2 linked regions of the Cricetulus griseus genome follow. The protein of the gene in region 1 interacts with the protein of each later gene in a pairwise test. Links are inferred from orthologs where the notes say so. Each region holds a gene or a part of one and is shown on either strand. Other genes may lie near its edges.

Region 1 (4,784 bases):
GTTTACAGGGGTTCAGTTGCTAAGAATGTGGAAACATAAGTGTCTCAGTGGCCTCCGAAAGATGGGCTGGAAGAGTCGAATGAAGACAACCTAGCAACGACAAAGGAATTCAGATCATAGGAGTCTCTGAGATTATCAGAATTTCCAAATCCTGTAGTGCTACCATCCAGAGAACTTCCTTAAGGCCACAGCTGGTGGAAGACCACATTTACTCACTGTGCTTGCAGTTCATACATTCACCACATGAGGGCGCACGCCTTATCTCTCTACAAGCATTACAACTAGTTTTCCAGCTGTTAAATCTGAGATCAGCCCCAACAAATTTTTCTTCCACTCAAAAGCATTACTGCTTATTGAGCCCTGAGGCCTGCTAGATACTGATAGCTTTGGCTAGCCTCGGGAGAACATTTGTACATCACTGCAATCACAAAGATATGGATTTGTTGAAATTCTCGTAACTACTATAGAACCGGTCTACTGAATTTCAGAATCCCACTCCCATAGAACAAGAAACTTACAAGCTAGGGAGACCCTACACAGCCTGAGTTGAACAATTTTTAGCTTATGAGCATTTCCTAACTAATATCTCAAGCATCCCCTCAACAAAAACAAGACCGCCCAGCATTGGGGGGAGGGAGCTTGTCAGAAAGGCACACTGCTTCTCATAATGTAAATGTCTCTGAGTGACTTACATACACATCAGAGTTTGCAAAATATGGCTTTATGTCTATAACACCATGGCACAGATGTCCCATTTAGAGACTAGATTTAGGTATTATGGCTGGCTTGTTTTCCCACAGCCAATGACAAGGCAGTCTAGGTAAAGATTTTACAAGGTGTCTTACATAATGCATGCTCAGCGAACTAAAAAGGTGATTTTAAGTGACTGCAGCAAATTGTGAACCATTCATTTTCTCGATTGTGTGTGTAACCCCCTGGCACAGGAGTGCACTGTATCCTGTAGCAGATGTGGGAAAGTATACTCCAGTACTTACACATAAATAGGTACCCCCCCCTGCAAATGCCCCGCCCTCAAGCTCACCTTCTGCCTCTAAAAGGACCTTTGCCCCTCAGATGTCAGAGGCCTCCTGCTCTCTGCCCTACCGCAGGTAGGTGGAAGGCTAGCTGAACTGCTCATTGAGGCAGGGCTGTCTTCCCTGTGCTGGCCAAGCCCTCCTCGAGCCCTCAGTTCCCAGGTTCAGGGTCTGACACCTTAGCCACCTCCTGTAGGCCTACTCAAGAGTTCTCCAAAAGTCCCTTAACTTCCTGTAAAGGACTCCCACCCTTCTTGGAGTCCTGTCTTTGAACAACCTGCTACCATCTTTATTCTTCCAAATAAAAATTTTAATACACAATAAAAAATTTAAAGAGTATAGTAAAAATTCAAACATCATTAAAATAATATAAAGTAAACCAAACCTCAGTCTTTCAAAGCTTTACAGACCAGGTTTGCTAGCTGTGTTTAAAATTCCGGCACTTTAAAGACTAAGACTGGAGGAGTTCAAGGGTAGCCAGGGTTACACGGTGAGCTCCAAGCCAGCCTGCATTAGACTGTGAGGCTTTGTCTGAAAAAGCCAAAACCCGTCATGTTTGTCTTGGCCTGAACCACGCAAGACCACTGGCTTCTGAGCGCTTGCCTTTTCTTGGTACCAGTCCACTCTCTCCTGGATCCTGGGAGTTCGCAAGCTGGCGGGGTGGGGTGGGAGGAGAGAGTAACGGAGGGGCTGAGAGGGGTGGTGGTGGGAGGTATGGGGTTAGGGCTGGGGCGAATACACTCCGAGAGTGCCTCAAGCGAGGGTAAAAGCTTAGAGAGTTGCAAGTCGGCTGGTCACTGCCGGCAGGAGACAGCAGCATCCCTCCTACCTATGGGAGCAGCCTGAGTAGAAGAGCCTGCAGTCCCGATCTCGAGGCGAACCCCCATCTCCAGGACAGAAGCCCGCAGCTCTCCAGCTCGGGGTGCACCTCACCTCCAGCACCCCCAGGGTAAAAACTTACAGCTCCTTCATCGCGAAAGGCTCCCATCTCCAGCGCTCCCAGGAGAGAAGCCCGCAGCCCTACTCCCAACTCCCGCCCCCAACGAGCTCGGTCCCTGGAGTGCCAGAAGCAGCTTCCCGCCAACCCCAGGAACTCTGCGGCCCCAGGCCACCCCGCCTCCCGCGCTCAAGCCTATTGAACCGGTCGGAAGTTCCCCGTCCCCTGTGCCCCATCCCCAGTCCTCCGCGCTCCCCGCCCCAGTCCGGAACTGGAAGACGCTGGCGGATTGCACTCCTGCTGCGGTCGCTGGGACCCCGGATCCCGGGGAGTGCGGCTCTGCGAGCCCCTCGGCCCCCTCCCCACCTTCCCGGGACTGCACTCGTGCACGTTTTCAACACAACTTTCTTTTTAATCTTTGGTGAAAAGTGAATTACAGAAAAATTAAGCAGTGTCTCTTATGGACACGCGCAGCCAGGTCGTATTTTTGTTTTTGTTGATCACGTTGCCTTCCGCTCCCCTCTCGCCCCCGCCCTCGTGACCTTCTCGTGTTTGCTCCCGCTTCAGTCACACTGAAGATGCCTCAGACTCCGCCTGGCACCTAAAACGCTGCTTGGCCACCGAAGAGGGACCACGTTCTGCTTGCCTGGCCACCTCGCCCTACCAACGAAGCACAAGGTTCTTATTTTCTCATCTTATCTCTTTCCTAACCATCAAAGCATGCCCATGGGCGGAGAGTTGTTTGTTTTGATACAGGGTCTACGTGTAGCCAGGGTTCGCTGTGTAGACCAGGGTGGCCTCCAGTTCCCTGAAATCCTCCTGCCTCTGCCTCTGAGGGTGCTAGGATTAAAGACTTGCACCACCACACCCGGCTCACGGTAGAGATTTTAAGATTACGGTTCATTGCACAGGCGGGCTTTTCCAGAACCTTCTCTGAGGAAGGCCAGGCCGACTCTGAACTGAGAGGTGGTTAGGGTGCCAGTACCTGGCAAGCTGCCTTCCAGCCCAGTAGTTTCCCCTGGAGTAGATGAATAGTTACCACATTTCCAAGAGTGTGGGTGGGAATCCAAGTGTGGACAAATTTAAGTATTGCATTGAAGCTTGGGACTTAGCGCAGTTGGTAGAGGGATTGCCTAGCTTGCAAGATGCACTGTTTGAGGATAAAGCAGGAGTGGTGGTACTGTTCCGTAATAACAGTACTATGGGGGTAGAGGCCATCCATGCACTATAGAGTGGACTATAGGCTTCTTGGCATCTGAAATATGGGCAAACCTGTCTCAAGACAGAAAAGAAAAACAACATTATTGAATATGTTGCTTATGAATTATGAGAATTCGTGGAATGACTAAGATATTCTGTTTATCCCGATTCTCTGGTTAAAATGTATGTTTTAAGTGTCTTAGGGAGACACTTAATTCCAGTACTCACACTTGGGAGACTCAGGCAGGAGGATTGCTCAGAGTTCAAGACCAGCCTGGGGTACAGAGTGAGTCTTGAAAAACACCACCACCACCAAAAGCAAGACAAACAACAACAACAACAACAAAAAACAACCAACTGCTTTTAGAAACACTGAAATAATAACTACCTGCCATGTCCCTTTGTCAGTTTTCACCATGATTTATGGAGCCTAGTGCCGGTGAGTGGCTGATAAGGTTAGAGGGAACCTTGTGTGTGTGTGTGTGTGTGTGTGTGTATGTGTTTTTTGGGGGGGGGCGTGTTGTGACTTCCACTCAGTGAAAGCAGGATGTAGGCCACTCAGGCTGCCTCACCCTGGTGCCTCTCAGTGACTTTGGGTGATTGAGAACAGGGAAGGAAGGGGTGACAGGCAGTCCAGCCTTGCTTTTACTGTGGCTTTTCAGCCATCAGGCATATTATCAGGAGTTAAGCTGGTTGGTAGCTCTCTTGCTGGCTGGTGTCTGCTTGTCAGTTTGGAGATCTGCCAGCACTGTGGTCACAGATAGAAAACCACTCTAAGAGACCTGGTAAGTAGTGAGTATCTCCCTCCCCTGAGGTGGCCCTGAGAGAGCCAGATCCAAGTATGGATAAGTGAGCAGAGGGTTGATTGCTTTGGGGGTGGGACGGGGAAAGACAGAAAACATGGAGATGAGTTAGAGGTCTAATATACCCGGCAAAAAGGAATGAGGAGTTGTTGCAGGCCTGTAATCCTAGCGCTTGGGAGCACAGCTGGAACTACGTAGTACATAGTAGTCACCTATAGCTGCATAACAAGACTCTGTCTCAAGAAATGAAACAAATAAGGAGTGGCAGACCATTGAGGTGGCGTGCCATTGAAGTAGACAGTGCCTGCTACATGACACCAAGCATGCTATGTTGATTATATTTGCTGCATGGATATTGGGTGAGGGACTAGGAAGAGAAACCATTGCTGCGAAGCTGGCCCTGAACCCTGCCCCAGCTCAGTCTTCTCTGAGATCTGATCCCCCTACCTCAGTCAGGCTCCAGATTTGGAATATATACTCTTGAAGTGGTTGACCCAAACTGGCTCCTTGGGGTACAACACCATCAGACATGCTAGAGAGGACCGAGCTAAATGGGTGTGGTCTCCTTTGCCACTTTCTATCTGCAGAGATGCCAGAAGGGCCATCCGTGAGGAAGTTTCACCATCTTGTCTCCCCTTTTGTGGGCCAGAAGGTAGTCAAGACTGGGGGCAGCAGTAAGAAGCTATGCCCCGACTCCTTCCAGTCTCTATGGCTCCAGGATGCCCAGGTGAGTTTTGCTTTCCCCAGGTCTCACTCCACCTCCCCAGGTGACATCTCATGACGTTTTATGTTTAAGCATTGGACAGCCAT
Region 2 (3,361 bases), on another chromosome or scaffold:
ACAATTAATATCTTGATGTTTGCCCTATAACTTAGGTTTTAAGAGCATTCCCACACACATTAGTTTATCCAGGTCTTCCCGAAGACATGGAAACCAAGATTCCTGTGTTGCGTTTTTTGAGAGTATAGCCTTGGCAAGCCAGGCATGGTGCATTGACCCAGCACTTGAGAAGTGGAGGCAGGAAGATGAATTCTTCCACTGCCGTTCAAGCTTGAGGCCAGCCCGAACATGAAATTCTGTCTTTAAAAAGATTAGCTTTGAAAGTAGGTGCTTTATTTTCTCCACTTTCTTGGGAAAAAGATCAGTTGAGATTGAATCCCCATTAAAACTCCCCTGGCCCATCCACTCCCTGCAACTGCGACAAAGAGGGGCTGGGAAAATCCGTGGCCCCGGGACAGGGGTTCCCCAGCTTCCTGGCCTCAACTGGCTGAGATGTACTTGGGGAGGCCTTCGCATCCGCTGCTTCGTGACCGACACTGCCGGGCTTGCCGCCAGGAGGGTTAGTGGCGCTGGCAGTGGCCAAGGCCAGAGGACTCCTAGGGGACCCGCCCCGGGGCTGCACATCCTTCCAGTCCAGACCACGCTGCGGCTGCTCCAGCATCCATGACGGGTCTGGGCCCACCTTTTCTGGCCAGGAGCCAGTGGCTGGCTCACCCCCTCCCTTAGCCTGTGGGGGGACTCCACCGTGGACCCCATTGGGAGGTGAGCGCCCTCCCCCACCCCACTCCTGTGACTTCCAGCCACCCTCCTGGTTTCTCCCCAGCCCAGACAGCCGGATGAGGAGATGACAGCTAAAAAAAAAAACCTAAAGTACAAACAGGTTGCCTGAGAGGGGAAGCAGCCAGGATCAGAGTTACAAATGGGATCTCAGGGTTCAAGTGGGGTCCCCAGCCATCTCCACAAGTTGGCTTCGAAGCTGAGGGTGTAGTGCTTTCCCTTGCCTGACTCATCGGGCCTGCATCCTTTCCTGCAGGTGCTCAAAGTCTCTGAGGACTAAGGACCTCAGCTAGGTGTGTACCAATGTAATTAGATAGAGCACAGCTCGCATAAAACATATTTCCTGACCCAGGGTCTCCAAGACTAAAAAGAGGTATGGAAGAGAAAGCCCGATGTCTTATGTCCCCCTGCCCAGGCAGGAAGGGTTCCTGTGGCAGTTGACTGTCCAGTCTTGTTAGTTGTTAGTTAATTCTACAGATGTGTTCGTCCCCTGCCTATGGCCTCTGTCACTACAGCTGTCAACGGAGAGGCACAGCCAGCAGCCAGTTCTTGAAATAGGAAGGCCTTTTCATTCTAGATGCAGTCTGTCCATCTGCACCAGACTTCACAGTCTGTGAACTGTGAACAAAACTATCTCATACTGGGACAGTGTATGAATCAAATCGCCTGGGTCCTCCCCCACTTAGCAATTAGGTGAATTCATTCTTGTGTTTGGTCTGTAAAACATGATCAATACTGAAACCACTCAGTTGGATTAGTGTGGAGAGGATGAAGCAAATGCAGGTAGGGACACTGTTTCCTGGCCCTGTCATGGGTCAGGACTGAACCCCTATGTCTAACAGAAGCCCAAGAGTTCCAGAAGGTTCTCCAGACTTGCCCTTCTGGAGCAGACTCCAGTGTGTATGACCAGCTTCCCTGTCCCGTTGACACTGCTGGGGCCCAGGGAATATTCCAGCAATCTGGTCTTAAAGCAGTGGTGTATAACCTTGACCCTGCACCGGAATGATCAGGAGGGCTTGTCAAAACAGGTTGCTGTGGGGTTGGGGTGGGCGATGCTTCAGCTTTTAGCACTAACTGGGTACAGAGACTTCAGTCAAGCCCAGTTTCATGTGCCTTGGAGAAATCTTGTGGGTGTGTTAGGGGGAGGGGGTTCTGAATGCACCTGAGACTGGGACTAAAAATATTTCTTGAGCATCTTAAGAATGACAGAGGCTGGGGCTGGAGAGATGGCTCAGAGGTTAAGAGCACTGACTGCTCTTCCAGAGGTCCTGGGTTCAATTCTCAGCACCCATATGGCAGCTCACAAACTGTCTGTAACTTGAGTTCACACCAATGCACATAAAATAAAGTTAAATAAATCATAAAAAAAAAGAATGACAGATGCCACAGAATGCTGCCCAGCTATTTAACGGACTAATGGAAGGGAACTGAGTCCCTGGCGGCTCATTCATGTCTCCTCCATTTGGGGCCTTCTCTTCACAGACAACCAGGAGAATGGAGGAAAACCGGAAGGTAGCAGCAAGGCCCGGAAGGAAAGGACCGCCTTCACCAAGGAGCAGTTGCGGGAGCTAGAGGCTGAGTTCGCCCACCATAACTACCTGACCAGGCTGCGTAGATACGAGATCGCAGTCAACCTGGACCTTTCAGAGCGGCAGGTGGGGTCCCTGGCTTGTCAGAGCTTCTCTGCTGTCCATTCATCTCCCGTTACATGGCCCCTGCCTGAACACCGTTCCTTTCCTCTACCCAGCCAGTGGTTCTCAACCACTACTGTGCCTGACAATCAACCATCTCAGGGAGAATTATCAGAGTTCTACTCATGGAGGTGACTGTAATTGGTCTGGGATGGAACTTAGGCAGCCCAGGTTTTCAAAGGCCTCCCAGGTAACTCTCATGTGACCAAGGATTAGAACAGCTGAGATCTGATTTCCCCCAAACTTGAACCAGCATTTGCCTCCGATTCACCTAGGCAACTGTTCAAATGGAGATTCTGAAAACCAAGTGTTGTGGCACCTACCTGTAAACCCCAGCACTTGGGAGGTAGAGACAGGAGGATTGTGAGCTCAAGGCTACCCTGGGCACAGGGCACTGAGTCCAGCCTAAGGAACTATCTTCAAGGAAATCAAAAGATGTGCTGGGACCGGACGTTGGTGGCGCACACCTTTAATCCCAGCACTCGGGAGGCAGAGGCAGGCAGATCTCTGTGAGTTCGAGGCTAGCCTGGTCTCCAGAGATAGTGCCAGGATAGGCTTCAAAGCCACACAAAGAAACCCTGTCTCGAAAAACCAAAAAAAAAAAAAAAAAAAAAGATGGGGCTGGGGATGTAGCTCACGGGTAGAGTGTTTGCCTAGCATGCAGGAAGCCCTGGGTTTAATCCCCACATCACAAACAGGGCATGGTATCATGTCTGTAATGCCAGCACACTGGGGAGGCTGAAGTTAGAGGACCATACGTTCAAGGCCATCTTTAGCTGCATAATGAATTCAAGGCCAGCCTGAGCTACATGAGATCCAATTTAAAAAAAAAAAAAAGGGTAAAAATCTAGATTCCAGGGAACAAATTTGCAGTAATAATGAGTAGAACTGAGAATCTGCATCTGAATTAGTTCCCAGATATACAGCTGGGTCCTGGGACACTGAGGACAAGT

The links. The genes of interacting proteins can lie anywhere in the genome.
Region 2: the proteins of Neil2 (region 1) and Meox1 interact in binary tests that used the Homo sapiens proteins (3 or more experiments, as listed by UniProt). The two-hybrid records come from large-scale screens. The link is inferred for Cricetulus griseus from reciprocal best matches to the Homo sapiens genes NEIL2 and MEOX1.

The regions. Positions count from the first base shown.
Region 1 is NW_023276807.1:218,223,895-218,228,678, reverse strand, and holds the start of Neil2 (endonuclease 8-like 2), read left to right. Parts: upstream 1-1,807; 5' UTR 1,808-4,503; coding exon 4,504-4,701; intron 4,702-4,784. UniProt on the Homo sapiens protein: Involved in base excision repair of DNA damaged by oxidation or by mutagenic agents. Has DNA glycosylase activity towards 5-hydroxyuracil and other oxidized derivatives of cytosine with a preference for mismatched double-stranded DNA (DNA bubbles).
Region 2 is NC_048600.1:116,217,183-116,220,543, forward strand, and holds part of Meox1 (homeobox protein MOX-1), read left to right. Parts: intron 1-2,199; coding exon 2,200-2,372; intron 2,373-3,361. UniProt on the Homo sapiens protein: Mesodermal transcription factor that plays a key role in somitogenesis and is specifically required for sclerotome development. Required for maintenance of the sclerotome polarity and formation of the cranio-cervical joints.